Mytilus edulis: one gene and its partner. The protein of the gene in region 1 purifies or fractionates together with the protein of each later gene. This does not show direct contact. Links are inferred from orthologs where the notes say so. Each region holds a gene or a part of one and is shown on either strand. Other genes may lie near its edges. The genes, in order: F-box/LRR-repeat protein 4-like and BCL2/adenovirus E1B 19 kDa protein-interacting protein 3-like.

Region 1 (17,228 bases):
CCATTTCAGGATCTTCTTCAAAAAAAGTCTCATCGTTTGTAACTTCTGTTGGAGTAACTTGCTCTTGTTTTACATCAGTAGTCTCTCTTGGCAAATGTCCAGGATCCTTGTTTTCATCCAGACTTTCCTGATGAGATGACACAGATAGTGTATTGATATACTTCAGTGTCTGTGATACAATTTCATCAGCATCACTACAATCTTTCACCTCAAATGATGGAGCTTGTTTAAGAATGGCCTGCATGTCAGAACATGGATTTAATGTACCATACATACAGACACAATCTAATTCTGTGTAGTAATGACACAGTGTAGAACACAATTCTAACCTTATCAAGCTGAAATATAAAATATATATAATAAAGGACGTTATCAAGGTCATATACACCTAAACTTATTTCTATGAGGTAACTGCTAATGGGTACAATAACAAAGCATTGATTCTTTATTAATGAACTTTCAAAGATCTATAAATTAGAATTTTCATTGAATGAAAATACATGTAGGTTTCTACTGACATTCAGTATAAATACAGTCTGTCTAAAAAAAAAGTATATCAACTTGAGACTCGTAGAAAGTACAAGTAATTTATAGGACACATATGATCTATAAACTCACCTTGTTTTAAACAATGGTTCTCTCAATGTTGGAGAAAATATTCTGGATTTATCAGGACATTTCTCTGGTTGGCCTTCCCACAACACTTGCCATCTAAAACAAAAACTGTAATTCAGTGGTTGTCATTTGTTGCTGTGCTACATATTTTTTTCCCATTCATTATTTTGTACATACATTAGGTTATTAGTTTTCTTGTTTAAATTGTTTTACATTTGATCCTTCTGGGTCTTTTCTCATCTTTGAAGGCATTTTTGTATGCTATAGTTGTTAATTTCTGTGTCATTTGGTCTTGTTAACTGTGAAATTGGAGTCAACATCCAAAATTGGCTTATAATTTGAATTTATACATTTAAAATAACAGCCAATTAAAAGAAAACTGGACCCTGTCAAAATAAACCAGTTTCCTGTCCATTCTGGCAGACTACAGACTTTTTTCATATTACTGACGTTTGACTCAAGAATTTACGTTTTAGGACTTGTAACCTACTCTTTGGTCTGAAATCCTGGAACTTGGTCAAGTAAGAGCAACATAAAGAAGTATAACCAAGCATTCAAATGGTGCAATTTTTGTTAGAAATATTTTTTTTTATTTCAATACAGAACAAAATAGCAGTTCATTATTTTCTATTATTTTCTTTTTTTGCTCTTTTTTACAGCTGTTTATCTTTTTACCCATTATCATGATTATTCTGAAAATCCAATGAATCAAGACCATCTTATATGTTACTTTTATAATAGCAATCATTTAATTCTAGAAAAAAATCATTGCAGGTTCATTTAGAGTGTATTGAAGGTTTATGAGAAATGTATTGGTACAGGGATAGTTAATTCTATAGAAAGTCCCTGATTGGACCATGTACACTATATAATTCCAATAGTATGTTACCTAACTCTGCCATCATCTACATCAGTCCCTGAAGCTGTATCACAAGCTAAGATTCTCACTACTGATCCAGGATTATAAGTTTCCCAAACTTCAATCTTACATGGATAAACATCTAAATCAAAACTCAATTCTGAAAAACAGAAAAGATATAAACCATGTTAACTGATAACTGTATTAATGAGCACAAAAAAACCCACTGACAATTACTATAGCATTGAGACAACCACTTAAGGTAACACGATACCGAATGACGTTACGCCATGAGTTATCGTTCCTGACGTTATCGAATAACGTTCACACATATAAGCCAATGCAGCGGGTTTTGTGTGGCATTTTTAACGGTAACTTTCCCTATGTGCAGAGTGCCGAGAGTTTTGATGCAATACGTAGCGGTTATTTGACATAGATTGTTTTGTCGTTTTCCAGCCATCATTCTGTTCATTGTTAATCTTTAAAAAGTATTACTTTGATACATTTACACCACGCAGAGTACAGTATACTACATGTATTGTATGTACCAAGTCAAGAATATGACAGCTGTTTATCATTCTTTTGATGTTTTTCAGCTTTTAATTTCGTCATTTGATAAGGGATTTTTTCGTTTTGATTTTTTCTTGGAGTTTTGTTGTTTTATTTTTTGGAATGTGTATTTTATCATGATCATTATTTTCACAAATAACAGAATGTTTAATCTTTTTTGACTGGTGCATCAAATGTGTCTTTTATAAACAACTGTTTTCAAAATTGTAGTGTATCGTCCCGAACATGCATGAACTATTTGCCACTGAACGTTAAACAACCATCACACCGAGTAATTAAAAAACTGTTAAATGAATCAAATTTTTTTAAATACCATATTTCTGCATCATGGGATGCAGTGATGATACTACCATTGTCTAATATGATGGAGTTTAAAATCAGTAATTCGGATAAATCTCACGTGAAATGTTTCATTTAATTTTCACGTAAACTTAACAAAAATCTGAAGGTATTTTTTATGGTTTTAATCAAATTTTAGAACAAAGATATTATTTAAATAATTTTATTTGAAATATTTACGTGAATTTAACGTGTACAAAATTCCGGTGATTTATGCATGAACTATTATCATAAGATTCACATGGAACCTGTTCACGCAAGTTTCAAGTATATGCTCGTTTGATGTGAAAATCGGACGATATTGATATTAATTCATATAAGTGAAATTCCATGTGAAGGACGAAATAAAATTATATCTGATTCAGTAGAATTTTATATTGCATTACTAGGAACTTTACGACAGTCGACAGGGGAAATGAAAATAAAATATACTCATTCAGATCCCGACACATATGTTTTTCTCCATTCTCTGAGAAGAAATAACGTTATATTCCGTACACCATAACGTCACACGTTTTTGGTCAAATTCTAGGCCTATCGATCAACTTTGAAGCCATTTATTTCAAAAACAAGCATGGTGACATATGAGTTTCTATACGTGTCTGGATTCACTATGCAATCCTGGATATTATGTTAGTTTTTCGTTTTTCTCCGTATATAAGAAAATAGCCATCCATTCGAAAATCTAAAAAGGTAAGCCGAAAAAAAGGCATTTCCCCTATATACCTAAGTAAATTTGTCGCCAAAATTGATGTTTTCCTATGAAAATTACAAAAAAACAAAAATGGTGACCCCCATTTTTTATTACATATTCCGATGTAACTCGATTCAAAGTACACGTATGCCAAAAAATTTGGAAATCGGGAGATATGCCATTCGGTATCGTGTTACCTTAAGCTAATCTTGACAGCTATAAACAAGATTTTGATAAAAATTATCAAGCAGTTTGAAATAATGGACTACATGAAAACAATCTCTGATAATTTGTTACTTATGTTTTATAAACATGATATAATGCAAGTTTGAGGTCTAAACATTAATCAAAGAGCAGATTGCTCTGAGGGATACGATTGCCATTGCTTTCATTGATACATGTATTAGTATTATTTTCAAAAATAATTCAGCTGCACGTGTAAAATTCTCGTAAAATGTAATTTACGTAATCTGAATAGTTATTCAACTTTATAAATAGCCAATCCTCGATACAAGTGTATGAACAATGTACTTATAATTATTGTGTTTTAGTTTTGTACTATCAATTCCAAGTTAACTTTCCACAGCAGTCACTGAGAGTGAGAGAAAGTATTTTACTTCGTACCTTATCACCTATTTCATTTGTATTTTCCTACGTGAATTCTAGGTGGAACTCCATTCCTAACTCTTTAAATATTTAATTTCCTTTGGGTCAGTGGGCAGGACTCCTTTCCGTTTAGATTCCTTTGTTTATATTGCGATCGGTTTTAATATAATACGATGTCTATCGACAGAACGAGTTAATTTTTCTCGACGCGATAATATGGAAGACCTCATTTTGGCTGAAGGGGTGTTCTAGTTACACCTTTACGTTGTGAACTACATTTATTTTAATTAAAATGATGCATCATGATTTAAAATTATGCAACAACAATAACCCTCAATAGCAGCAGCTGATAGCAGACAGACATAGAAAGGATCTCGTGAGTTTCAAATTAATCAATGGAGTGGGGAATCCAGAGCAACCATTCAATCTGATACCCCTTAGGTGTTTCTAAATTTATAAAAACACTAAATATAAATACTGCTTAATTCTGATTTTCCGTGTTGTAAAAGACATCCATACAAGTCAAGGGAAATATCAAAACATGAAGATTATGAGAAGAACATTGATAATAGGACAGTTGTTTAAATTCAATCCTTTTGTTTTTTATACCATTTAAAGCAAGACAATCTCAAGTATCTGAGATGTTCCTTGATGTTTAGAATAAAACGGTTGATGTGAGGGCATGGCCCTGAGTCAATGGTATAAGGCAGATTCCAAATAAGAAAGTTGAAAAGTTCCCAAAATTATGTTTAACAATATCAACACCAATGAAGTTCTGTTTTGGAATACATGTTATACTTATATAAGTAAACACTTTTTGACCAAAAATAGATCTATTCACATTATATTTTTTAAATAAAGACCACCTTAAAAAAATGTTGCTATCATAACAAAATTGACAGACATTTTGACGGAAAATTCTTATGTTAGCAACACAAAAAATCTTGATATTTTCAGTATTTTCAAGGTTTAGATGTTTATCTTGATTTAACATGAAAGGCAAATTGGAATAAAACATTTCTGAACATCTGCACCAATAAAAAAGGAATTGGAATAACTTTTAAAACGGATTATCTTGGAGTTGCTAACATAAAATTTGACAGACATATGCAATGCTGCTAACATAAGATTTGACAGAAATTAAGTTGTTGCTAACATAAAAATTGACGGACTTTATTGTTGCTAACATAATATTTGACGGACTTTTTTGTTGCTAACATAACATTTGAAAGACTTTTTTGTTGCTAACATAATATTTGACATACTTTTTTGTTGCTAACATTAAATTTGACAGACATTATTGTTGCTAACATAAAATTTGACGGACTAAATAGTGTTGCTAACATAAGATGTTGACGGACTTGTTGCTAACATAAGATTGTGCTAACATAAATAAATTTGACGGACAATATATATTTGAGATTTTTAACCAACATTGGAGCTCTTATCCTAGTTGAAAGTCATATTAAGAACTCCTGCAAAATACCGATGCCTGAAATTTAAAAAGATTTTAACCCAGGACAGATAACTCTAATTTGTAGCACATCCAAACGTTGCTAACATAAAATGACAAGTTTGACAGAAATTATGTTAGCAACAGATTTGATAAAACTATTGATTAAATAAAGTAAATTGAAAGATCCAAAATGTGTATGTATAATGTACAAATGTACAAAAATTTTCATCCTAGCCCCCCCCCCCCCCTCCCCCCCCCCCCCCCCCCCCCCATAAAAATCAAATGGTAGCTACCTAAGTAAGGTATTAGAAATTGAAAAAATACATATCACAGATGTTTTTAACAAAAGAAAAGCAAAAGATTTGGAAACAGAGATGTTTGAATAATCAGACTACACTAATAAAAACCATTATACCAGTGTCAACTTAAAGCCTCGTAAAACATGAACCTTGTGTCAAAAAATGGGAAGTAATTTCCGTCAAACATTTCACATTTTTCAACTTGTTGTGATCATTTCTACTTTTAATGGAAACAATCATATCCAATAATTGGTTTGCTTGCTTTATATAACATTACTATTCAATAAAACATTCACATATTATCATTCAAATAACAGTAAGTATTATTTTTCTTAATTTGTTCTTTTTGACGGAAATTTTCTTTTCTTTTTGGAATCTGCCATAAGTCTACAGATTGCTTAAAAGCAATCGTATCCCAAAAATTGAGAAATGCTGACCAAATTTTTCTGTTATCATATGTGTCCATTAAATTTAATAATAAATGAGAAGGTTTGTTTTTCCCATAGATTTTGGTAGTCAAATCAAGGATTTGTATAGTAAGATCTAACTATACAAATCCTTGGTCAAATAGACTCCACTCTAAAACTATTTTGAATGTTATCTTACCAACATAATCATCACTTATGAAGTTAGGTGGTGTTCTCTTGAATTTACGAGGTGAAGATGTTACATTCTTCCACCATGGTCCGTATGTTCTCTGTAAAAGAAATCAAAGAGCTGATAGCTCTGAAGTGGAAGAAGGTGAATAAAAGGTAACTTGAATAACCATAAAAGCAGCCCCACTTACCCAGGCTGCTTTGTTCCATTATCGTTAAAATGTATTTTTTTTCTTCAAACAAGAAAAGGTCATAAGTACATGGATTTCCCATCCGTACAATCATTTTCTATGTTCAGTTGACTATGAAAATTAGGTAAAATCTTTAATTTGGCAGTAATTAAGAAGATCATATCAAGAGGAACACATGTGTACTAAGTTTCAAGTTGATTGGATTTCAACTTCATCAAAAACTACCTCGACCATAAACTTTATAACCAGAAGCAGGACGGACGGACAGACTAGAACACATATTGCCCATAAATGGAGCATAAAAATAGTAAGACTTGTTACATACCTGCCAACTTTTGAAAGTTCCCATATGGGTTTTTACTGCACAACAATTTTAAAGGTTACAATTTTTAGCGACGTATTTTGCAAGATCTGGATTGTCTAGAAAAAGTGTCATATTTGTATGATGAACTTACATGCCTTTTCCTTAAGTCTGTTTGCATGATTCTAGTTATATATTAAATCGGTAGAAAAAATATACATGAAGCTAGCAGACCAGGGTTTATTTTCCAGATTAAGAATATTAGATGCTTGTTCATGTTGTTGAAATTTCCAATTTTGAATTATGCACAAAGATGGACCTTTAACAGGTTGGGAACAACACTCCAAATGAGGGTAACCTAACTGGAAGATCATCACAACCCACTGTAAAAAATGAACACAAAATAGAATTTTTCAATAAATGCTGAAAATAGGCTTTAAAGTATTAAAATGCATTGCAAAAAACAAATATTTCATTAAATAAATTTAAGTAGAATATTCCTATGATATTCCTTTTCATATTGGATACAAATTTTATTGAGTCTACTGCAGACACTTTGTAGTCAAAGTGTTTCAACTGAGGTACTACACAGGTGTCAAAAGGCGTCATTATGGAGTAAAGGGGGTGGCGTCAAAAAGCGTCATTATGGAGGAAAGGGTTAAGTACTGAATGGTCAAAACATCATGTTTTTTTATCGACATAAATTTTGTCATAAATGTAACCAAATGATGTAGAAATTGTGTTTTTTCTTCAAATTTCCATCAAATTGTAATGTTTATAGTTCCATTATTGCCTCTCTATTTGAATAAAATAAAATAATAAGAAGAATCTGTTTCTTGTTTTGTTTTGTTTTTGACAAATGATTGTTCACTGCTAGCAAATGAATCATTATATTTATATATCTTATCTGTATATATTTTTGTTCATGTCTTCATCTCCTTATCATTTGTAAATGTATAGACAAATAAGAAAGAAATAAGCTCCACATGTATATTTGCAACATCGTAAATTAATTAAGAAAATATTCTGTTGTAAACAAAATTATGATATAAACTTCAATTTAATCCTTGAAAGGAGGTCTAGATTGCTAAAATAATTTATAAATTTTAATTTTTTTATTTGTCCAAAATCATTTAAATTCATTTAATCAACATCCCTTTATCATGTTTATGATTATTTGATTAAAATCTTAATCATTTATAGTCTTTTTACAATTTACATTTTTAAAAGCAAAATAACTGAAAACAGGATAAAACAAAGGGAAGTAACAAAAAAATATTTCAATATGCCCAATACACATCGTTTTGATAACACAACGGCAGTTAGCCGGAGGTAAACATCGTTGATTACCAGTATGTTTGACACCCAAGCTGTCAAGTGAAGCCTTATAATTATACATCTTCTTTGATGTTCAGGTAAAATTTAACACAGGTGTCAATTACACCCGTACAGTAGTAAGAAATGATCAAATATGGCGTCTGAAAAATTTCATACACGGGAGTTTTTTCTCCTAAACGGGAGGTTCACATGTATGTTACGAAGGGCATCTAATTCACATGACAAAGGAAAACCATGAATAAAGACAACACTTTATATATCCTTTTTATTTATATAAAAACAAAATCTTCTTGTCTGCAGGATTGCAAATTCGTAACTTCAAGGGCGAACTTGTAAACAGGGCGAGTTGTCCCGATACCAAATTCACGCATGCGTAATACAAATATCTACAGTTAAAACATCCTGTTACAAGTAAACAAATAACGTTCATGTGGATGAGATGAAATCTAATAATTTACATAAATAAAAGGGTCATATTTACGATAGTGATTGTTTTACAATCATAATTTACAAATTAAATGATTCAGATGCCTAATCATGTGTAAAAATCGGTGTCAGGAATCTAAGTTGTTTTGAAATTGTAATACACGAAATGAATGCGGCATACGGAGACTCAATGCCAATGGTCAGCCCCTTAAGTCTTCAGAAGACTTGACGTCTTCTTCCACTAAAAACTTTGTAAATTGCATCATGTACATTTGTAAAATGTTTTCTCTCAAAAATTGTCAATATGAAGGTCCTATAAAAACACCAAGTTTCCATACCCTATAAATTTTCATAAAAGAATTTTATGAAATTATTTCAATCTAATTTAAATGATTAAACGTTCAACTAATATCTGGAAATCTTACGAAAACAGCAGCCTGTGTAAAATCTCCATAAGCAGGAAATATGTTACTCCTTCCTGCTAGGTTGCTGACTGTGTAAGATATACTTGTTTCACTACCATACTGACTGCTGAAATCAGTCACTTCCTTTGAAAATCTTGAAATTAAAACTGCCTTTGATGTACTGCCTGGCTTGTGTGTTTCTGTTATTTTATCTCTGGCAAGTGCATTGTCAGCCATTTCTAAAATTAGAAATGAAAAGTGAAAGCGAAACTGAATAGCTAAATTCATTAGTGTCGTCCGATCATGTGTAATATTATATCATACAATAATACATCAATATTAAATTATTCAATTTAGATAATAATGAATATTATTAACGTTTTAATCAAAGGAAAAACATCGTAAAAACGAAATTTCCAAGATAAGGCCGATAGAAACACTATTATAATTGAAACTGGCATACGGGATGAAAGACCTAATTTTTCTGAAAATTTGTCTGGAAAGAGTGTTATTTTTGGAGAGTATTTTTGGGCCTAACAAAATATCAAGTTTTATTATTTTGTAGGTCTACAATGCAAATTTCACAAGTTTTATTGGCTTATTTAATCTTGTCATGAAATAGAATATACAGGAGAAGTCAATGATCAAGGACTTTATATTGTACAATATTTGCAATGAGATACATGTACCCCTCCCTTGTCCACAGGGGTATGTACCTATCATACATGTTTTCAGGGTAGAAATATATCACTGTATGCCCGTCAACTGGTGGGCATTATACATTATGTAAAAAGGTTGGCATATATTTACCCCTAAACATGATCCCGGTTGTCAACGTATATATATATGTTCCTTTTGGAACAAATATTCTATACCATTTATTCCATTAGGAGCATTTACTGTAATATTTATTCCAGTGGAAATAAAATTCCAGACTATTGTTTCCATTTGGAACTTATATTATAAAGGAACTTGTATTCTGTGACACGCTAAAATGTTAATTTAAACCCTGCCACAATCTATTTGTATGTGCCTGTCCAAAGTCAGGCCGCCAGCAATTCAGTGGTTGTGGTTTGTTATGTGTTACTTATTTGTTTTTCATTTAATTATTGAACATAAATAAGACCGTTAGTTTTTCTTGTTTACAGTCATTTCAGGGCCTTTTATAACAGACTATGTGGTATGGGCATTGCTCATTGTTGAAGGCCATACAGTGACCTATAGTTGTTAATTCCTGCGTTAGTTTGGTTTCTTGTGGAGAGTTGTCTCATTGGCAATCATACCACATCTTCTTTTTTTATATATAGGTCTATGATATGCGCCCTTGTGTATGTGTGTCTAGTCCAAATAACTATGAGGTATTGAAGTACCTTTTTTTGGGATACGATTGCTTTTAAGCAATCTGTAGACTTATACCATTGACTCAGGGTCATGCCCTCACATCAACCGTTTTATTCTAAACATCAAGGAACATCTCAGATTCTTGAGATTGTCATGCTTTAAATGGTATAAAAAACAAAAGGATTGAATTTAAACAACTGTCCTCTAATGTTCTTCTCATAATCTTCATGTTTCGATATTTCCCTTGACTTGTATGCATGTTTTTTACAACACGGAAAATCAGAATTAAGCAGTATTTATATTTAGTGTTTTTATAAATTTAGAAACACATCAGAGGGAATTCCCCAGTTTTGATAACATGCAAGAGTTTTCTTAATTCCGATCGATAAAATCTATTTCTGTCATATAAGAACTGAAGTGGAGTTTTCTTATATGTCACCGTTATGAAACTGATATTTGATATTGTACTTCCATAAAGAAATGGAGGTCGTTTAATTAACATTTAATATACATCCTTGCTACAAATCACAAGTCTAGGGTTTGTTTAGGTATGTGCATGCATATAGTTTTCTTGACTTGAAGGGGTATCAGATTGAGTGGTTGCTCTAGATTCCCCACTCCATTGATTAATTTGAAACTCACAAGATCCTTTCTATGTCTGTCTGCTAATGAGGGTTAACTCGTTCTGTCGGTTACCGATCGTGCAAGCTAGGGCTGTATAACAAGTCAACAATGGTCAAGGTCGTTCAAAACTTCAATTTTTTGTTGTTCTGTCGATAGACGTATTATATTAAAACCGATCGCAATTTAAACAGAGGAATGTGTATGGAAAGGACTCATGCCCACTGACCCAAAGGAAATTAAATATTTAAAATGTTAGGAATGGGGTTCCACCTAGAATTCACGTAGGAAAATACAAATGAAATAGGTGATAAGGTACAAAGTGAAATACCTTCTCTCACTTTCAGTGACTGCTGTGGAAAGTAAACTTGGAATTTATAGTACAAAAATATAACAATAATTACATTGTTCATAAACTTGTATCAAGGATTGGCTATTTTTAAAGTTGAATAACTATTCAGTTTACGTAAATTACATTTTACAAGCATTTTACATGTGCAGTTGAATTATTTTTGAAAATAATACTAAATACTAATACATGTATCAATGAAAGCAATGGCAATCGTATCCCTCAGATCAATCTGCTCTTTGATTGACTTTCTGTGAATCCACCATTTTCTACATTTGAAAATGCCTGTACCAAGTCAGGAATATGACAGTTGTTGTCCATTGTTTGATGTGTTTCATCATTTGATTTTGCCATTTGATTATAGCGACTTGCCGTTTTGACTTTTCCTCAGAGTTCAGTATTTTGTGATTTTACTTTTTCCTATATTGTGGACTACCCACCCCCTGTAAGAGAGACATGTAAGGAACAGTGATAGAAAAAAAATAATTTAAGGTTTAGTATGATTACTTGCTTGCGACTTCTGACTAGTACTGGCTTGATTATATATGTACATATACATCAGCATATAGTAATGTAATAATAACAAAAAAAGATTATTTTTGTTGGACGCTCAGTATTATAACCAGAATGCTGGATTGGTTTAGGAACCAATTAATTAGGAATGTAACAATAGCGCTTTGAAGACGGGCCAATCACATTTCCATGACATTCATATATATAGGTGTCTGCAATACCACCACATTGTCCATAGGACGTATTGTCCATCATGTGTCCTTGTAAAGACATATGATCAATACTTCATGTACTTAAGGGGGTTCGCGGGTCTAAATCATTTATATAGGATTTCTCTATATTTTTCTATAAATGAACTTTATCTTATAGTTAATAGAAAATTAAAATAAAAAAGTGGGATCACCGTTCATTTGCGCTCACAATCTGCCTTCGAAAGAAGCATACATTTTTGTAAAGGTGGTTGAAGTAATAGGAGAAATATAGGTAATATCGAAATAAAAAAAGAAATTTATTACAGAAATCTCTCAAATTTTACAATAATTTAGTTTAAGTACAGCTTATATGGAAATTATATTAAAAAATATATGTCACCGATGAGTTAAAAAAGATATTTCAATTTTAAAGCCAAAAAAAAGCATTTTTCCACCAAAGGGAGATAATTTGGAACTTTTTCAATGATGTACACATTTTAAATGTCATCTGGGGCCAACACGAATTGATTGTTTTGAATGATTTTTGTACCATATGATAAAGTAACAACTACAAAAAGTAATAAATAAAATTTGTAGTGAAAAACAAATGTTTATTTTTTTCTGAAATTTTTATACCCTCGAGCCTCCTTAAAGTAATTATTCCATAGAGGTTACAACATAAATATATGATTATACAACACTATCCAATGTATGTTTGTATCTGCTTGAATTCAGCTTAGGTGCTGTATTTTTACATGATCTTGATCTTCAGAAAATATTGACTAAAGCATAATTAAAACTTATGTTCATCAAAGAAATAATAATAAGCAATTAATATTCTTCTTGAATGTTAAAATTAATCAATATCTGATTACTTTGTTTTGTATTTCAAACATCTTCTTTTTTATAAACTTATTGTTTTAACAATGACAAAAATTGATCTCCCAATTTGGATATTCTTTCTTATTTGTTTTTATTTTCTCAGTTTGGTTTCCATAAGATAATAAACATCCATTTAGAAAATGATATAGATATTTTATTAAAAATTAACACATACATGACATAGGGTGTCAGGAATTCTATTGATTAACACCCTTTAACTCAGGCAAACAATCATTATTATCTGTGTATTTGAAACACTTTGTATAAACTTAGAGTTATTTCCCTTCTTTTAATATGTTTTTCAAGTTACACTTGTGAAACAGTGTGTGGATCTCTCTGAAATTGTACCAAAAGTTTCCATACCACAAAGGGATGGATAGGATTGGCTCAAACTGTTTAGGAATTAGGGGCAAAAAAAGGGGGAAAAACAAGGGTTTCTTGGTTTATGAACAATTACTTAAGTTTTGGTCTTTGGATCTTTATGAAATAGATATTGGATTATTATATAAGGGATAGCATTTGATTGATTCATGATATTTTACAGTATATAGAAGAGAACAATATTTTTGGATTACTGCTCTTTATTGATTTTGAGAAAGCTTTGATTTATTTTTGAACTTGTCAAAACTCTTTGGAAGTTTTAAACAAATTATGTGCTTTTGATGGTCCATTCAATTCAGTTGACAGTTATAATTTTTTAACTATGTATACTACTCTACCACACAATCTTATTAAACAGAATTTCTCTTATTTAATAAATGATACTTTAAAATGTCTGTAATCAAATGATTAAAGCTGTAAATTTTCATTATGACAACATTTATGTACTTTCTAGGAATAATGTTAATCAACAGGTTTAAGGTATTCCTATGGGAACTACTTGAGCCTCTTTAATAATAGACTTGTTCTTGTGTTGTAATAAATCTCAGTTGATGGCCAAATTCAGTAAAAGATCTGTCTAAACTATATTGAAACTTTTAAAAACACTACATTTAAAAATGTTTTCTGTTACATTGATGATATTTTTGCTTAGAATTCTTACATTTTACATTTTACAGCTGAAATATACCAAAAGAAACTTATTTTGATTAAATCTAATACAGCCAACAATAGTTGCACTATTTAAAGGATATCCAATTTCACACAGGAAACTCTACACATGCTATATAACAAAACAATTGAGAAGTATGTTGGTTCCTTGATTGTTAATTTTCCTTTTTTGTTACCAATCAACTTTTGTCGAAAAAGCGAGACAAAGCGATCCTACATTTCGTTGTCGGCATCGTCTTCTAGGTCGTACACAAATATTCACTCTGTTGTTAAAGTTTTTAAAATTTTAAAAACTTTCTTAAACTATCCTTGATTCCTACAAAACATGGACAGAATCTTGTTTTTGATCATAAGATAGTATCCAGATATAATTTTGTGTAGAAAAAAATCCTGTTTATCCAAGTTTTACTTATAAATGGACTTAGTTTTTCTGCAAGTTTACATAACATTCACTCTGTGGTTAAAGTTTTTTAAAATTTTAAAAACTTTCATAAACTATCCTGGATTTCTACCAAACTTGGACAGAAGCTTGTTTATAATCAAAAGCTAGTATCTAGAACGAAATTTTGTTAAAATATATTTCCAGTTTTTCCATATGTTACTTATATATGGACTTAGTTTTTCTTCCAGTTAACATTACATACAGTCTGTAGTTAAAGTTCTTAAAACATTTATTAGATTCATAAAGTAGGCAAGACACTGGGTTTCGTGGAACCCTTACAAATTTTTTGACAAAGATGTTACTTTCTTATGTTGTGTATATTTCACAACTTGTTCACTATGCCTGTGTCTGCAGTCGTGTTTTAGATATAAATGAACATTATTTATGTATAACTGATAAATTATTAAGTCTTGGTTTTCATAACCACAAATTAATTATAATCTTTACCAAATTCTTTGTTAGCATTACAGATTTGGTTAGAAAATTTGGGCAGAATCAATTTGCGCCAATTGCAGTTTTGAAAAGGTATTTATTGCGCCACTCTTTTTTATTATGATGGTATTAATTGCGCCAATAAATGAAATGAAATTGCGCCACATTTACCTGTTAATATTTTTTTACTTATATCATACCTGTACATGTTTTACCTATATCAAGACAAGACAAGACAAATACTTTATTAAAGTCTCGCCACTTGTAACATATAAAATATACAGCTTTTCAAAACACTAGTTAACAACAAGAGCCACTCTATAAAGAGTTTTGAGAGACTATAATATATATTTTTTCTTAAAATTATAATGCAAATACAAGTCAACTATCACGAGTATAAAATACATTTTGGCTTTATTAAAATTTCATAGCAGATTTTGTCAGTATAAAATATCATATTTTCGTTATCAGTGTCCAGAAATTAGAACGTCATATTTTGAGAACTGCGTGTAAAAGAAAAGCAACCAATGTGTTGTCAGAGCGACCTTCAAAAATAATAAATTCAGAGATCTTCAAAATTGAAGAAGAAAATTTAGAAAAGAAAGATTTAAAATATGTGTGTCAGTCTAGTATGTATATATAGAGAGAAGAAAACTGCGTCCGGCTTAATATAAAAATCGAGCAGAATTTCACAGAATATTGGATGATATTGGTGTTGTTACAAACAAAGATGATGACTTTGTATTGTGTAACGATCCAGAAAGCGGTATAATTTTATTAGGATGCGGAGGCTAATTTGAAATTTCAGTGTACAATGTCAGAGGAATTTTTTGCTGTTGGTACCTAGTCAATCATTTCGTTGTTATATATAGATAAAAATATTAAAATTGGCGCAATTAGATGATTATTTTATTGGCGCAAATGATACCTATAGTTTTGAAAATTAGGTGGCGCAAAAGAGGTATTGGCGCAATTAAGTTGTGGCGCAAATGAGTTACTTTTTGGCGCAAAAAGATATCGCCCGAAAATTTGCTGTTACCTGTAGTGTTCTTATAAAAAACAAGATATCACTTCCTAATGTTTACACTGATGTTGTTTATAAAGCCTATAAACTTAGACAATAATATTTAGCTTTACCCCTATGTCATTGTATGTGCAAGAATATATTATTTGGTTGTTTGATTTTCCAAAAATATGATTATGTAATTGTATTCACCACGGTTATCTGATCTATGCAAAAAGCAAGATATTAATAGATTTAACTACTTTAATTTGATGGTTTTTAAGTATATTACATATATTCTATTACCCTGTACTTGTTACTACCACAAAAGGTTTTAAGGAGGCTCGAGGGTTAAAAAAATTCAGCAAACATTTTTTTTTTCATTACAAATTTTATTTTTTACACTGTTAGTTGTTACTTTATGATATGGTACAAAAATCAACCAAAAAATCAATTAGTTTTTGTCCCAGATGACTTTTAAAATGTTTATATCATTGAAAAAGTTCCAAATAATCTCCCTTTGGTGAAAAATTGTCATTTTTTTTGCACATGTTGCATTTGAATTGAAATATCTTTTTTAAATCATCGGTGACCTATATTTTTTATTATTTTTTTTTGTTAATAACCTGTTCTTAAACTAAACTATTGTAAAATTTTAAGCAATTTCTGTAATTTAGTTCTCTTTTTATTTGGATGTTACCTTTTTTTCTCCTATTAGTTCAACAGAAAATAAGTACCTTAACAAAAATGCATGCTTCTTTCAAAGGGATATTGTGAGCTTAAATGAACGGTGGCCCCATATTTTATTTTTATTTTTATGGTAAGTATAGGATAAAGTTTATTTATAGAAAAAAGTAGCGAAATCCTTTATCTAAAAAAAATGTGATTTATAACCGTGCGCCCCCTTAATAATGATTCTTTCTCATTACTTGCAAATGGCGATATTGAAACTTTTATTTAGATAGATTAATGCAGTGAATTCTGGAACAAATATAAATCACAGTCAGGCCAAGGAGGCTTTACTTGATTGCTGATGTTTCCTATAGCTACATGAAAATATTCTACATAAATTATCATAAACTTTGTGATAACTATAGAATCATATTCAAAACAGTGTGGCTGTGGCCATTGATTGACAACCTTAATTATCCCATTGACTGGGACAGATTAGGTGAACGTTTGTCTTACTTATTATAAAATTTAAACTGTGGGGTAACCTAAGGTTCTTAACGCCTTCAATAATAAAATAATTCGAAAAATTAATCAGGAATAACCTTTATGTTTTGATTTATATTATTGAGATAAATCATAACATCGTGTTATTCCTGATTAATTTTTCGAATAGCTTAGGTGTTGAGAACCTTTGGTGACCCCACAGTTTAAGTGTCTTTAACAAGTACATAGTGAGCAGTGGTCTTTAAAGACAAACGTTCACATAATCTGTCCCAGTCAATGGGATAATCTAGGTCGTCAATCAATGGCCACAGCCACACTGTTTTGAATATGATTCTAATTTACTTAGTATTTTCATGATTTTACTGCAATGCATCAGGATTATTAGTCTTATGCTGAAACACACATTGTTATAAAATATTTAAAAAATACATGTTCATGTATACCTTGATTTTATTTAGTGTGTGTTTGTTTAGTTCCTCTTGTGTCTGAATTTCAAAATAAGATTAAATAACCATGATTATGTTAATTTTATTT
Region 2 (17,260 bases), on another chromosome or scaffold:
ACATTAAAAAAGTGTTTTAAACAAAGATGTTTAAGATTGAATTTTAAACCATGTGTTTAGAGGTAATTGTTTGAAAAATATTTTTGTTCGATTTGACATAATTTTTTCTTCAGTTGTTTATTTGTTGCTATGATGACAGATGTAAAAAATACACAAGATAATAATTTAAAAATTGATTTCTTTGAAGCTAACTACAAATATCTGGACAAAAAATAAAACTTGTGAAAACAAAATTTATAATAGCAAACTCAGTGCTCACCTAGGTCAATGTGCATCTTTAACATTAAAAAGTAAAATCACAAAAATACTGAACTTAGAGGAAGATCAATTGGGAAAGTCCATAATCACATGGCAAAATCAAATAACAAAACGCATCAAAAACGAATGGACAAGAACTGTCATATTCCTGACTTGGTACAGGCACTAGCGGTAAAGGGGCACTAGCTACGAGATATATATATAAAAAATCTAAAGTCTGATTTTTTTCTTTTTAATCAATAATAAAAGTGCAATAGTGAAATAACAATTTTGTCAAATTACGCTAAGAAACATTGATAATTAGTAATTCACTTGCAAGTGAATGAGTCGACCTCTTTAAATCCGTATTCATGTGAACTTCAATTTAACCCCTAGCTAGAGATTGACAACGCATGCATTGTACGTGTACTGGTTATTTAAAGAAAAAGAATGTCAACAATGAAAGTGAAACTACGGTCAATCATTTGATTACTAATTCGATGCACATGAAATCATTCTTATACGGCTAAAACAATGAGAAACATCTATTTTTAATCTATAAAATAAAATCAAACAGACCTATAAAAATCCATTTGCACGTGTTGGTTTAATCTATTCATATCTTTATTTATGTTTACATTGCTTATATGGTCATCTGACGTCAAATCGATAGTTAATTAGATGGCGTCTGGACTAAAATACCCACGAAACGAACCTATATATTATCTACCCCATGCTCTGTAAACTGTTTATTTTAGACTTTTGATAGTTTGGATAAATGTTTTACATTGTTATAAATCAAATATGAGAATTTGAGTCAATTCGGTGACCATGAATTTGACAGCTAGTGCCCCTTAAAAGACTAGAATATAATTCATAACAAAAATCTCTTTTTTCTTGTTCTTGTATGGCTGATAAAAAATTTCTGTTTACAGTTTCTCTCTTCTTCTTTAGTTTTTGCCTACCGGTAAACAAACTTTCTTTTATCATTGTTTTCACTATTATACAAGTCTACATATAAACTATTTTTATAGGGCAGCAACTCCTATAAGAAATCAGCAAAGTTTTGAAGGAAAGAGTCGATAGACAGAGCTCATCATTCTTAACAAATATGACCAATGTCCAATTTTCTCTATTTATACCGTTTTTTAAATAATAGTCCACACTTGAATTTTACCCCTATGTTCTTTTTTTTAACAGTTGACATAAACTTTATGCAAATGCTGTATTTGTCAAAACCATTATTTTAGAACCTATATTTTGAACTATTGGGAAAAAGAAAAAGAAGATCATTATATCCATAGAATTATTTATTGTACATGTAATAGCAACTACATGTAACTTCTGATAGAAATTCTCTTTTAAGGAAGACATTTTTTTATTGTTACACAACAAAGATAAATGTTTTCTAATATTGATGACCCACACAATGATATGGGGTATATATGTCAATGAAAAAAACAACACAACTATGATGGTCAACAAAAGATAGGGATCTTTTATCAATATTCATATTATAAATCATATAAGTCCACAAAAATGATCTCTAAGCTACATGTATTTGGAAAAACTGTCAGAATGTTTGCTCCAATGCTTTTCAACTTCGTTCTTTAATTTCTTTTTATTTATTGGAGCATCATTGTCAGATGAGTCTTTTGTAGACAAAATGGAATTTCTGAGGTAATAAAACTATAATCCTCCAATCTTTAAGTTTTTTAAAGCTGTATCACTGTATGGATGGGCCCTTTTATGCAACTGTAAGATATATATATATTTGTACTGTTTTGTCCACCTATGCAAATCACATTTATTTCTCACATATCTTAGACATGTTTGAATGATAAACACTAAAGTACACCTTTTTTCTTTAGTATTGATTTTATAATAATAGATGTTATTTTTCAAGATTAATTTATTACAATTCAATCCAGAAAATTAAATAAAATAAATGAAATCTTAAAGTACACAGATTACATCAGATGTTTTGTCTAAAGATTCTGATCGATTAATTCTTTGTACAAACATACAACAACATATCAATCACTTTCTTTTCATAATCAGTAATGACATTTTATGACAGCATTTATCAAATTTCTAATTTTAAAACCAGGTTTTATTTTTTACTTGATCATTACTAAAAACACTATCTGGTTTAAACCAAATCTCAAATGCGGTTAGAAGAAAAAAACACATGGATAACAAAGTAACACAGAACAGAAACACCCAAAATCTTGAAGCAGATAGTTTATCTGATAAAAGTCCATTCATTAATTCAACCCAAAACAGTGATTTCTACCCATAGAATCATCTGATACCAAAACAACGGACAATTCCAAAGCGGAACAGGATTAATGCTGACAAACCTGATTTGTAAAGCCTGGCCAATATAAAATCAATGCTAAGTGCATGAACTCTATTAATAATCTATCTTGAAAATTTTGTTCTACGCTAGTACTATCCTGAACTTATTTCACAAATATAAAATGTACTGAAAACCTCTTTTTTCGATAAAAGGGTTGCATTATTTTTTATTTGTATTATTTATTGACCAATTTATTATTTTGTATACTTTATTTTGTTGCTCTTGTTGCTCACAATGTGTGTCTGAGTGTATTTATAAACTTGTCTATTGTTTAAATATCCTGAAAAGAGAGTAATTTTGTCATTTAATTCACTATTTGAAGCCCTAATATAAGATAAAATGTTATCAAAGAGCTAGATGAAAATCAGTTGCAGAAAATAAACCTACTTGTGGCGATGATGAGTTTTATTACAAAGACAATGATTCTGCTAAGTATAGTTTAAAATAATTATCTTCTTTTTGTTCAGTAGCAGTGATGCAATCAATAATTAACACAAGATAGAGCCATATATATTTACTAAAGGAAGATTACCATAGACATGTTTGTTCATAAATCTACCGAAAACTAAGTATCTAATGATCCAAAAATCAACTCCTGAATTGGCTGATGAAGTCTTGTTTTGATTAGGTACAATGTACATGGATTTTTTTACAAATGTGATATCACAGATTGAACATTTGCATCACATTTTCTAAGCAGCTACAAATCACAATGTTGTCCCTTTAAAGACCCTAATATCAGAATTTTGCACAGTAATCTTAACATCAAAATTTAGGACGAACAGAAGCCTCTTGCTGCTCAAAGATTGAAATATCAGTTCATGAGCCATATTGTCCTAATTTAGGCAACCTAGACAGAGGATGTAGTCATATAATAATTATTTAGCTATTTAGATAAATGAGACAAGTGAAACATTTATGCTTAGTTTCTAGTAATATTTAATAAACAATTGTGTAAATAGATATAGGAAGATGTGGTATGAGTGCCAATGAGACAACTCTCCATCCAACTAACAATTTTTAAAAAAGTAAACCATTATAGGTCAATGTACGGCCTACAACACGGAGCCTTGGCTCACACCGAAAACAACAAGCTATAAAGGGGCCCAAAATTACTAGTGTAAAAACATTCAAACGGGAAAACCAACGGTCTAATATATATAAAATAAAAAAACGAGAAACGAGAAACATGTATAAATTACATAAACAAACGACAACTACTGTACATCAGATTCCTGACTTAGGACAGGTGCAAACATTTGCAGCGGGATTAAACGTTTTAATGGATCCAAACCTTCTCCCTTTTTCTGAAACAATAGCATAAAATCACAAGCTTGGTTTAAGTGAACCTACTGTACATTTGTATCTCAGCAAAACAACACATTTAGGAAATGTATTGATGAAATATGTTTAAAGTAAAATTTGTAAGGTTGAAGTATCAAGTCAAAATTACTACTTCTTGACAGTAAATTCATACTCTGGTATTCATCAAGTCAAAAATAATAATCTATTATTACACAGTAATATTTCACTTGTGATGAGGGCTAACCCAGTAGACACTTAAGAATGATCATTTAATCACATGTAGCCCCATGCTACATATTAAAATCATATGACCACTTGATAGATCACTTAGTGACAAAACAATACTGAATATAATATAGAGAGATGTGGTCACCTACAACAACAAACTTCATCAGTTTCAAGGAGGATGTCATTAGGATATACTAAACTTATATAATTATGTTTGATAGATTATTTGATTTACCGGTACATGCATTTGGTGATAATAATATGTTGATGATGTATGATGATGTACAAAATTTTAAATCACATGCAACTTTTAAAATTAAAAAAAAAAAACACTTATTTTTTTTTACTTCTAAAGACATCAAAAAGACCTCCAAATCAACTGCCTTCAAAAACCATAAAAAATTTCTAATAAACTTTTAAAATAATTTTTTTTGTCAGACATTGAATTTCATAAACATGATATCATTATATAACATAAATGACAGGACTGTCACAGGAGAGAAGCAATCTTTATACAATGCACATGTCTTAGAGCCTAATCACTCACAAAGCATCTATATATAATACTGATTAAATTGGTTGTAAGTAATTTCTTTGACTAGTCACTAAATCAAGTCTGGTGGTTTTATAAGTACATTGTATTTTAGGAGTACTTTATCATATGTTAGTTAAAATACAATTTTCAGCTTTACGACCCGATCGATCAGATCAAAATGTTCAAAAATCAATTAAAACACATAGATAACTTAAAAAGAAAACATCCATGTAAAATCTTCTGGTAAAGTGAGCAGAAATGGTTCTATTGATGTTTAATGTCTTCAAGTAAATAAATACAATATACAATTAAGACAAATACAGTCTTGAATATACATGTCATATAAGAAATGAGCTAACAATCTGCAGCTGTGACATCTAAGAAGGCATTCAGCCTTAAATGCATGTCCTTAAGATTTGATCTCACAACATTATGTAATAATTCATTTTTTCAAAACCAACGGAAATACTAATTCTATGTTAATAAATTCAATAAATATATATAATAAAATAAACTACTGCATTTGATAAACTATGTGCTCAGGTACAAAAGACCAACCCTGGATACATGTACCTTGTCATACATGGTCACTATTTTGTGTCTGTCGCTGCTTAAAGTTTTTTTTAGGTTCATGGACAAGTACGTTGAAATTTTGTTCTGCTAACTGTTTGAGCAAAAAGATTTAAACATCTGGATGTAACTGAAAGCTCCCATAGACAAAGCTACCAAATATTGCATTATCATAAATCGTTGCAAAATTTGTATCTAACTAAAATGTTATTTCTCATCAAATCCATCCAAATTATACAATTGTAAGATGAGTTGATTATAAGACTTAAGCTTGTTAAATGTCATGTAGCATATATTTCATGCATTTTCAGAACTGAAAGAGCTTACTTTTAAGTAATTAAAAAAAAGGAAACCCTGAATTTCAGTTGATGATATGTTTGGTCCTAGTTAAAATAAATTTGTCAGAAGTCAGCAGAAGAGTTGTATTTTCGTTCCCTGCTTTGATCATTTCAAAAATTTCATATTTAAAATTGCTATTCCCTCGGTGTTCTCTTATAATATAAGCATGATAAAGTTTTAAAATAATATATTGTAACAGAGGAAAGAAATGTAAAAACAATGTGTTGTTTATAAAACAATGTATAAAACCTTATAAAAAGAAAAAGAAAAATGTTTCTGGAGACCTGAATGCTTTGAAACTAGAAATGATGGAATGACAGATGGTAAAAAAGTAACACTGAATGCCCCTGTCGCCTATTATAAGTCGGGTCATAAAAACTTTAGATAAATATATTCTGGCAGAATCTGGGTAAAGCAAATTTGCATCATAGTAAATAACCTGATGCTAAAAATGTCTTTCTACAAAACTTTCTTTTTTATATTTTAATTCATTATCCATTTTTAACATTATAATATATTTAAAGTTATGATTTTTGTAGTTTAAAATAAAATGCCTCAATTATTACCAAAACCAGGCTATTATTTAAACTTGGAATTATTATTAATTATGGAATTTGCATAATTTCTTGTGCTTGAAATTTTTTAATAAATTCCATGTTTATTCTGTACTCTAGCACTTCTCAGAGCACTTAAATGTTCTGTGCTGTGTTATGAACCGCTCAAAACATTAAAATACCAAATAACATGGAATTTATTAAAAATTTCAAGCACAAGAAATTTTGCAAATTCCAAAATTAAAAATAATTCCAAGTTCAAATAATAGCCTGTTCAAAATGAAAAGTTTACATTATCTTATAATTATTGTTAAATTTATATGACAATTATACATTGACAATTTAAACACCAACCACAAACATGATGAGACTAAAATGTCCAGACTTATAAATAACTCCTTCATTTCAATGAAGTTTACATGTATGATGTACAAGCATATCAGATTTAAAGGACAGATCAATAGTCATATTACTCTATAATAATATTACAACATTTATTTTCCTTCATACATAAAATGGGACTCCAAAATGCACTTCTTAATGTGCAAAAAACTAACAGAAAAGACATAAAACGAAATATGTAAAGCAAAAACAATGTACATCTGTCAATAATAGACTACAAAAAATGCAAACATAAAACAGAAAACAAGAATGTATTAAAATAATATAGACACAGGTAACCCTAAATTACTAATTACACAAAATATCTTATATGAATATTAATGTAGTTATAATAATTTGTGAAGTATGCATATAACAGGTTAAATCTGGCAGTGGAATAACCTGCACACGCGAGCTGTCTTGGAGAATTTAATTTAATTCAATTTAAATATAAAATCATTAGCTGACATAGACCTTTAAAGAACAAATTGAGTTCATTGACTTGACTTTAATAAACCTCATTAATCATGACAAACATGTACAGCCATTGAGAATATAAAAATAAGAAGATGTGGTTTGATTGCCAATTAGACAAATTAACATCAAAGACCAAGGACATATATATCATGTATATCTTGTATATAAAAGTTAGAAATTATAGGTCATCCCGCAGTCTTTAGCAATATGCAAAACCCATACCCGAAAGCAAACTATACAAGGTTCCTACATAACAAATAAGTAACAAATTAATTCAAATAGAAAACTAATTGCCTGATTTAATTACAAAACAATGACAGAAAAAACAAATATGATTTTATACAATAACCAATGACAAGTACCGAATTACAACCTCTAGACTAAGGATAGCCGCATTCAAAATGTGGCAGGGTTAAACATGTCAGTCTTCACAATAAAATTTTGAATCCATAAGCCTGAAAACTGTATTAATTTACAAATAAATTAAGTTGGATTCTAGATCTGTTGGCTTTAATATAGAGAAGAATTTTCCAAGCCCAAAAGCAATTTTACAAGCTGAGGCTGGGTTGATGCTTAGCTATAGACCTCCATCTAATTTGGGTGTTATACCTAAAAGCTAGAATGTCACAAAAAACAGAAAAATTAAGCATCCAAGAAAAAAATATCAATCAGTACATGTACATTATACAATGGGTCAAGAGTAAATTAAAGATGTCATAAACAGTCTAACAGAGAAAAACAAGATGTTATGCCATGCCATTTATAGGTATATATAGACATATACAGAACTGTAAATTTACGTTCATAGCTGAATAGCAATAACTTTTTGTTATGCTTTTTGTCTTATTAAATGATAACATAAATCAAAGTCAAATACAATTTATGGGTACTTTGCAGAAACGAGCAGTGATTGCTTCCTATTAGGTTTTTTTTAAATTTGAAGACTTGTTACAGCTACTGATCTGGACATGGTCCCTTTCTATCGAATTCCAATGACCTTAAATTTACCGCTTACTTAATTCAGTCATTAGGTCAGTCAGTGGGATCCCAGCCCCCAACCCCCTATGAAAAGTTCTGAATCAGCCACTGTTAATGTTGATAATATTTAGTAAAAAGGAGCTGGAAATTATTTCAATTTCAACTGCATGTATAATTAAAACACTAGACTTAAAGCTATTAAAACAACTTGTTCATTTAGCATGTTTAGGGAAAAAGTGAAGCTTTGAAGTAAACAAATTTCAAAGGCATGCACATACAGTAAGTCAGTTGCCAGTATAATTGCTTACATCCACTTCATCTGAACTTTGTTGAATATATGTCTCATTGGCAATCATACAATATTTCCTTATATTTTTATAGCTTAACTTGTACATGTTGTAGGTTTGAATTTCTCATATACATGACCCATACATATGTTCCAAGTAACCAAAATGCAAATTGATAATTTTTAGTATTAAAACATACTTTAATGCATGTTTAATATTCTATTGTATGTCTTTCTTATATTGCAAAGGAGAATTAATTGTTCCAATTGAGATTTTACCTACTCATAGACGATTTTAAATTTTATCAGATCCCTAACATTCCTTAAAAAAAAATTGGAAACAAATTTTGTCAACTGAAATTTTTCAAAAAAAAAAAATTCTGGAAGTATATAAATATTATAAATGAATATCGAAACAACATGTACCTGGGTCTGAAACATGTCTATTAGTCCCATCATGTTCCCAAATATGGGTTACTACATGTACATTCAATCTAAATAATTCAAGTTCATCTATTTATTTGTTATGCATATAATTTAATGTGTTGCAGATATGTACTGAATTGAGATCTTATACCCCATCATAGGAATATCCTAAAATTGTAAGGTTTTTAATTCATACTAAAGTATTAGTCTCTTTAGTTTCTGCACTTTAATTTGACATGACTGAATGTAAATGTCATGCACAGATTTGAAGGAGTGAAGAACTAGAACTGTATATTATTCCAAAACTTGACTGCATTTGCTTTGATTAGTTTCTTACTCATTATTTTTTTCTCCAAAATAATGCTTGTAGATTTCAAACAGAATGTGATATTGCACAAAACATATACCTTAATTGTTATTCTATAGCAATACATGTACTTACTGCTTGTGTTCCAGTCTATCTCATCTTCAATGACTTTATTATTCTTCCAGAGTGTCAGAGAGATCATGGCTAAACCAAACAGAGAAAATTTGACAAATGCTGATGTTTTACCCATCTCGAATGGTTTCTTTCGTTTAATTTACTCTAAAACATCACATCGTATCTAAATGAAAGGATATTATGTCAGGTTTCCAGGTATCAAGTTTGACACATGTGTTGTAAATCCATATTTGGGTGATTCCAAATTTTGATATCACAGGGTTAACAGCATATGATTTTGTAAATCAAATAGAGGAATTTTTATGAATTAAATTTATTAGGTCATGTTTTCATCTTTAAATCATCTTAACCTAACAGGATAATGAAGTTATATTGCCTTTTAGAGGCCACATGCATTATTGGCGAAAGTGAAAGTATCGATATGGAATGATCTTATCCTTTCGTGTGCATATATTTTCTATTGTTGGATTATTTCCCTTAGCTATTATCAATGTAATTTGTTACGGGAAGTTGATGAAGGTGGAGCAAGTCAGTTTCCTTTCGGAGCTTTTATTAATTAATACCACGTGACTGGTGACGTATACGTAAATAAACGAAAAGCAAAACATCAACAAAGAAGTATCATGTCATCGACACAAAAAATTGAAGGTATATTTTGTAACGGGAAGTATTGCTTCATTGCGAAATTGTAAATACAGTTAAATAAGATAAAAATATGGAACAGAGTACGAATTTAATTAGGAAGCAGGTGCGCGGAAATGTCAGAAAGGAACAAATAATTGATGACATCAATAACTGTCGATCGAACAGTTGAAAATCATTAATCTTGACCTACTTTTGTTTCTTTTTCTGTTACATGATATTTTTGATCTAAATTTTCTTCATCTGAAGCTTTCTTTTGTTGTTGTAAATTGTATAAATCTTGACAGGTGCTTGTGAAGGTACGTGACTACCCTCAGATACACTGTACGAGTTCATTGTCATTTTCAATGAATTCATGCAACATTAGTGCGTAAATGGGTTTGTATATTAATAAAAACAATAAATAGAATAGCTTTGATAATAAATGTCAAATACTTTAACAAGAAACAGAAATCTGTGAGAAGTTCATTTTGTACATGTAAGACATCTGACCAAAAGAATCCTCACAAGAGTCAAAACTGGGGAAAAGAAAGTGATTAACAATGATTTTACATTTATGATTTTTCTTTCCTGCTGACTTTTAAAATGCAATATACACAACTAGAAAAAAAATCATGAAAAATAAAATGCATGCTTTCTTTTGACCAAAAGACAATATAGAAAATGTTGCTGTCATGCTAATCTCTGTTGGGATTTTCTGATTTGTCTGCCCTCATCAGAGGTTACTGTCATGCATGCAGAAACTGTACATGCACATTATTATGTAGATGTTTAGAAAAGGTATTGCTAGCAACATCAATATGTGTACTGTGTATTTAAAACTGCATTGTATTTTTGGATTTTGTTCATCTAACAATTCCAATACATAATATAATGCTTGCATCACAGCTGAAGATTGACCAATCAGATAATTAGATTGTGTTTATCTATTTGCATATTGGAGTTGAAACGGTGGCAAATCCTCAGGTTTTATCATATATGCATGTAGTACACATGGTACACAAACTTAAAACTCAATTTATTATTTGTCGAATCATTAAAATTAAATTTGAGATTGTTTTTTCAAATCTCCTTATCATATTAGACATGTGTTTAATAAATCTTTGTGATATCTTTTACCGTTTAGTTTTAAATTGGAATTCAAAATTGTATTTTCCCATAGAGTTTGAGGTATGAATCAGGAATTGAAAAAAAATTGTGTTCATCCTCTCTATTTATTTCAATTGTAATATAACTTGAAAGAACAAAATTGTACTGTAAGTAAAAGAGCCTTAATTCAAGGACATCATAATTTAATTGAACTTGTTAAATTGTCTACAAATCTTGCTTTCAATGGGACAAATAAAAAGAAAGTGAGGATGAAAGTTGTCTTCCTTTGTATATTTACTTTTACATGGCTTTTGGAATAGTGAACACAACACATCAAAAAGTACCAACGAAAATTAACAAAATTTGTCTTCTAGATTCATGGATAGAACTTAGTGGTGGAGTTACACCACCAGTTGAAGCACAATCCATATACAATGGTAACTTAGAAAAGTTATTGATCGAGGCCCAAAGAGAATCTAGATCATCATCAAGACCAAACAGTAAAGAATCATCAGCCAGGGGCAGGTAACTAAGAAAATAACATGTTCTTATGTATGAGTTTGTTTCCATTGCATACTAGAAAAAGCAATTATTCACAATTTGTACAAGTATTTCAAACAAGCATAATGTACATGCATCATCACTGACATGTATTCTTTATCACATTTGTCATCAATGATGAGGATTAGATTTTGGTTAGAAATAAAAAGACCTTTAAAAATAAAGCGGTGTAGGAAAAATGTCCATGTGACAGTTCTCCAATAACAAAAGATACACAAAATATATGAATAAAGGTCACTATATGATTATATCTGGACAAGCATTGCTATTTTGTCAAATCATTTTATATACCAACAAGATGGAACAGAAATTAATATACATTTTACATGTTACAAATGTACATTAGATAACACATGGTGATGTGAAAGAACCATATCCAATTGCAAGTAACATAAATTTGTTGTTTTAAATTACATTTAAATTTATGCGATGTATAGAGAGTAATTATATGTTATTTAATATAAAAAAGAAGATGTGGTATGATTGACATATACATGTATATTAAAAAAAAATGACATATATTGATAATGCTGATTATTTTTTTCATTTAAATTTACACATGTTTGTTAAATGAAAAAAATTCTAGATTACATCGTAAATGAATAAATAAAGATCTACTAAATTTATTTAACAGAAACAAACCTGGATAAATAAAAAAGATAGAAGCTTTGTATACTGCTTCCTCTTCTGATAACACATTTATACTAAACAGTTTTTGCATGGAAATCACATTGAAAATGCAGAAATTATTGCTTTTTTATACATAATCGGCATACATTGTACAATGTATGTCAAGGAAAAAACCCAACCCAATAACACAATAAAAACCTAGAGGTCAACATATTCATGTACAGTCTAAAGTTCAACATAAATTGGCCTAAAAAAATCTAAAAAAAAAGTTTTGTAAAGTTATTGACTATTTTTAGTGTTGTTTATTTCTTTTTCAGCCCTAAAGGTCTGCACAGTCCTACAAATGAATTATCAAATGCTGAATCTACACAGGTACATGTACATACTGAACTACACACTTTATTTTAATTTCATAATAAACAAGGAGATGTGGCATGAAGCCGCATGAGACAACCTTCCTCCAAAGTTCAAATGAAGTGGATGTAAACCTTTTCTTGAGCTTTTAATCAAGATATAATAGATTCCTGGAAAACGTTTATGAATTATTATTTTTATTGTATGATACCAGACCTGCCAACCCATAGGGTTGAGCAGAGAGGTGTGAACCTCAATTTAGAAATTCTTTGCAGGCATCCAAATGAAGGAAAAGGGTATTTAAGCACATAAATATGCATCTGCACTACATGAATATAGTAGTAGATTAAAAACACTTTGACAATATAAGAGGAGTATTAGGTCCTTGCACTTAAAATCCCCATAAAAATTTTGAAATGTTGGCAGGTATGTTATACACTTATCAATGCCATTCATTAAACTACTATTCTTCTTCTTTCTGCATTTAAACCATTACTATTTCTTTTTTATCAATTTGACAGCTTCTTTCTTGTTTTGTATAAAGAAGTGATTATTTTTTAATAGGAAAACCGAGATCCAGGTACAGACTGGATTTGGGACTGGTCCAGTAGACCTGAAGCCTTACCTCCAAGGTAAGTAAAAGTTAGATTGCACTTTAAACTTCAATTATGTCATATTGATATGTGCATATCATTTCTTTTTTTTTAATACATGTACCAGTAATTTATCATAAATGTATTTCTTTTCTTCATAGTTTTTTATCAGAAAATTAAGATTTGACATTTACAACTAGGCTTATTTTCATCCTTTGGAACCAATGTTTAGAAATTTCAGACTAATTAAGTAGCAGGAATTATAGTTATATTCATTATACTTGTCATACCTTACTTTTGAATGAATATATAACAACACTAAAGCTTGAAACATCATGAAAACTGAACTAACTTAATTTTTTGTTGTGTCTTCACTGTATAAATCATCCTTTTTTTTTTTTAGTGATTTGGGAGCACGTTTCAAGCATCCAAGAAAATCTGGATTTAGAAGTTCACAAATGATACGAAAAGAAGATGCTTACAGCTTGAAGTACATTATTATATCAAATGCCTGCTCCTTTGTTGTAGGAATTGGTCTTGCCAGTCTGGGGTAAGTTAATTGGATTACAGCAAATAAAAAATACTCTCAGTACAAAAGTACTGTGGTAATTTGAAAGGACTTGCAGTACGCGTATAAGTAAAACTTTACCATCCTAGTATAGATGTAATGATTAGAAACAACCATTCTGAGAGGACAAAAAGCTGTAACAAATAATTATTCAGTTATTCACACTGTACAAAGAACAGCAAAATATGTGCTTAAAACACCAAATCTAGTATTTTGATTGGTTGAATTCTGAGTGTGAATACTTTCTAGGTGCTCAAACTTTTGATGACCCCAAGACCTGGGGTTTAAAGTCATCAAACTTTGCTCAATGCTTGGAGCACAAAAATCATGCTCGAAACATGAAATCCATTTTGATTGGTTGATTTTAGAGTATGAGTACCAAAAACTGACTCAACAGTTTTATGACTTTAAGGCAAGGACTTTGGAAACACTAAAAAAAAGAACATATTATCTGTTCATTACTTCCTTCATTTCATGTTAAAGTTTCGATAAATATAAATCTTTTTCTTACTTCTTGTTTTGCATCAATATTGTTTTCTTTTCTTTCAGATTCTATTTTGTAATGAAGAGATACTGCAGATGTAGTAATTTAATGATCTCTAACTAATGGATAAGGACAAGATAATGGAACAAACGTATTTTTTATCGGAAGTCTTATTAAAAATCATAGTGATTATCTCTGATTCTGTATATGAGGGGAGATGATATTGAATTGGAATATTTTTGTACCATCATAATTTTTACCCCTCTTACTTACAAATGTATGCATATGAAATGATTTAAGATTTTTCTCAATTATTTAGATGCTTTTTGATTTCTGGTAAAATGTCTACAATATACAACAGTAAACACTGAAGCCAGCTTCAAGTTGTTTAACTGATTTTACTATGGCCAGTGGCTTTATGATTTTCAGTTCTTTAATTATTAATAAATACCGGTAGCTGTTATTTTATGCTTCCAGTTGTTTGATACTTATCACCTCACAATATAATACAAATGTTCTTGAATTATACAGATGCTACATGTTTTTGTATTTAAGAAAACTAAAAGCAGATTATTCCAATGTCAATGTCTGTTTGAAGAAGCCTCCTAGTTGCAAGCAATTGTAAAATCATTTTTATTTATTATAAAAAAAAATAGATGTTAATGAAACTATTTTTTGTACGTAAATGTATTTTAATAGATGATTTTAAACTTTTAAGAGCTGTGGAAAAAAATAATTGTTATAATGATTGTCTGTTAAGGAACATTTTAATTTTATTTGAATAGAAATTTGAAAAATATTATAAAAAGAAAATTATGACAATTTATTAGTTATAGTTGATATATATATATATCTCATAGGAAACTTAAAAGATGTAGATTTAAAAATGAATGTATATACTATGTATGTATTTTGTTGTAAACTGTATTCTTTCAATATAAGTAACATTTGACTGTGCACAAGTATGTTGACATTTCTCTTTATTGTTTTATAATCTGACTTTGGCAAACTTTTCTCATGTATACATTTATTAAAACATATATATGCAAAAATTTAAATAATACAGCTAAAATTACTTTAATAAGGTTCCAATTTTATCTCTTGTTTGATGTATATTCTTCCAAAGCCAAATTTTTGTAAAATCTTATTTAAATTATTCAGTTCTGATTTTCTGAGACCTTTACGTAGTTGGTTGTGGATATATCAAATTTTACAAATTTCAATTAGTATAAATTAAATAATGAAATTGATTGTTAATATAAAGTGTGTATCACCGTGCAATATGCAATCATTATTCATGTATGTATGTTAAAATTTTCAAATACCGTATAAAGTAAACTGCATTTTCATTATAGACAATTTTCACCTCTATGAGTAAAAAATATTTCAACAATTTTTGTAGGTATTTATATACAATGTTTCGATTCATAACTCCTTTTAACTCTTTATATGTTTCTGAAATACATGCAAATAAAGCAAAATAAATCTGCATGGGAATTTTTTTTTTTAAATTGTTAAAAAAAGAGGATTTTTTGTTAATAGTTAATAGAACAAATTACAAATAGGACAAACATGAGATTGTTTATTTAGTTTAGATTTTGGACTTCCTATTCCGGTGAAGAAGTTTAGAATGCTTTTCTAGGTTTCAATTCATATGCAAAAAATCTCACAATTACGAGTAATTTCATAATTTTTATAATACTATAAATTTTGTGTATATTGAAAAGTCCAGAAAATCTTGAGTCAAATCCTTGGTTGCATATTTTCTTTAGTAAACATAAAACTTCTACAAAGTAAAAACTTTTGCACAACAATCTCTAGAAAAACAGTATAAAAAAATATAGATTCACACATGATGCACAATGCTTAGGAGCAATCACTGCTTTTCCTCATTTTTGAAGCCAGCACAAATTAATTTGATATTTTTTAAATATTTAAATATATTTTATTTATATACCTTTCAAATTGTACTTCCTAAGTCATATGGAACTTGTTTGTATATTTTATGAAATTTTGAAATGATACATGTATTTACAGGAATTGTATTCATTGTTTTATAATGTTTAATTTTTTATTTTATATGATGTTTTCCTGTTACACTTACTGCTATGGTTGATTAAACACTTTTTATGCCCCACCTACGATAGTAGAGGGGCATTATGTTTTCTGGTCTGTGCGTCCTTCCGTCCGTCCGTTCGTTCGTCCGTCCGTCCGTCCGTCCGTTCGTTCGTCCGTCCGTCCGTCTGTCCCGCTTCAGGTTAAAGTTTTTGGTCATGGTAGTTTTTGATGAAGTTTAAGTCCAATCGACTTCAAACTTAGTACACATGTCCCCTATGATATGATCTTTCTAATTTTAATGCCAAATTAGAGTTTTTACCCCAATTTCACGGTCCACTGAACATGGAAAATGATAGTGCGAGTGGGGCATTCGTGTACTGAGGACACATTCTTGTTTTAAACAGTTTTAACTCAATTTATAAATATATTTAAGTTTGCTGTTTTATACTTTATATTAATTGTTTAGATATATATATCTGAAATATAATTGGTCTTAATTGTGACTGAGTTTTTTTTGCCTATCATTATTTCATGAAAAAATATTAAACTGATCAAATGTGTCAATATTGCAGTTAAGACAAAATGAACTGAAAAAATTACACACTTTTGTTATACTTAACAACAAAATATTGCCTTGTATTTAAAGAAATATTTTCTCATTTTTACAGTGTCACTTATATATTAAAAAGTTAACCCTTAAGTGTAAATTTGATTTTTGATTGAACATTCCTGAAATTCCACCAGAGAATGGAATGGATGGAATTTGTCCAGTATTTTATAATTCCATCATTAATCAAAATGATGTTTATTATAATCTTGTCAAACTTTATATGCAAATAGGGTGTTAATTCGGTGAGGCTTTTGAGAAAATAGTTTATTTTGGATAGCGTTTACAATAAATTTTTAAGATGCAGATAAGATGATTTTTAAAGTTAAAAAATAATGTTAGATAATATAACTGGGTTTGATGAACAACATCAAGAATATGATATTCTGTATGACTCAAAGGATATTTGATATGGGTATTTTATTGTGAAAGGTATTACCACTCTTATACAAAGATATATATATATTGCCCTCTCTCTATAACATTCTATTCTATGGACTTGGGGAAATGTGCTTAATTATATATGTCATCACTTTTTGCATGATCACACTAAA

What was found.
Region 2: the proteins of F-box/LRR-repeat protein 4-like (region 1) and BCL2/adenovirus E1B 19 kDa protein-interacting protein 3-like purify together in Homo sapiens (affinity purification with western blotting; 4 studies listed by BioGRID, with this or other methods). This does not show direct contact. The link is inferred for Mytilus edulis from reciprocal best matches to the Homo sapiens genes FBXL4 and BNIP3.

Annotation. Positions count from the first base shown.
Region 1 is NC_092345.1:89,860,904-89,878,131, reverse strand, and holds the start of F-box/LRR-repeat protein 4-like, read right to left. Parts: upstream 8,961-17,228; 5' UTR 8,932-8,960; coding exon 8,716-8,931; intron 6,136-8,715; coding exon 6,045-6,135; intron 1,635-6,044; coding exon 1,505-1,634; intron 712-1,504; coding exon 619-711; intron 339-618; coding exon 1-338. UniProt on the Homo sapiens protein: Substrate-recognition component of the mitochondria-localized SCF-FBXL4 ubiquitin E3 ligase complex that plays a role in the restriction of mitophagy by controlling the degradation of BNIP3 and NIX mitophagy receptors.
Region 2 is NC_092347.1:47,102,620-47,119,879, reverse strand, and holds the start of BCL2/adenovirus E1B 19 kDa protein-interacting protein 3-like, read left to right. Parts: upstream 1-9,621; 5' UTR 9,622-9,743; coding exon 9,744-9,768; intron 9,769-11,225; coding exon 11,226-11,376; intron 11,377-12,359; coding exon 12,360-12,414; intron 12,415-12,960; coding exon 12,961-13,028; intron 13,029-13,392; coding exon 13,393-13,539; intron 13,540-14,106; coding exon 14,107-14,164; 3' UTR 14,165-17,260. Other genes in the region: probable sodium/potassium/calcium exchanger CG1090, read right to left, coding at 9,121-9,235. UniProt on the Homo sapiens protein: Apoptosis-inducing protein that can overcome BCL2 suppression. May play a role in repartitioning calcium between the two major intracellular calcium stores in association with BCL2.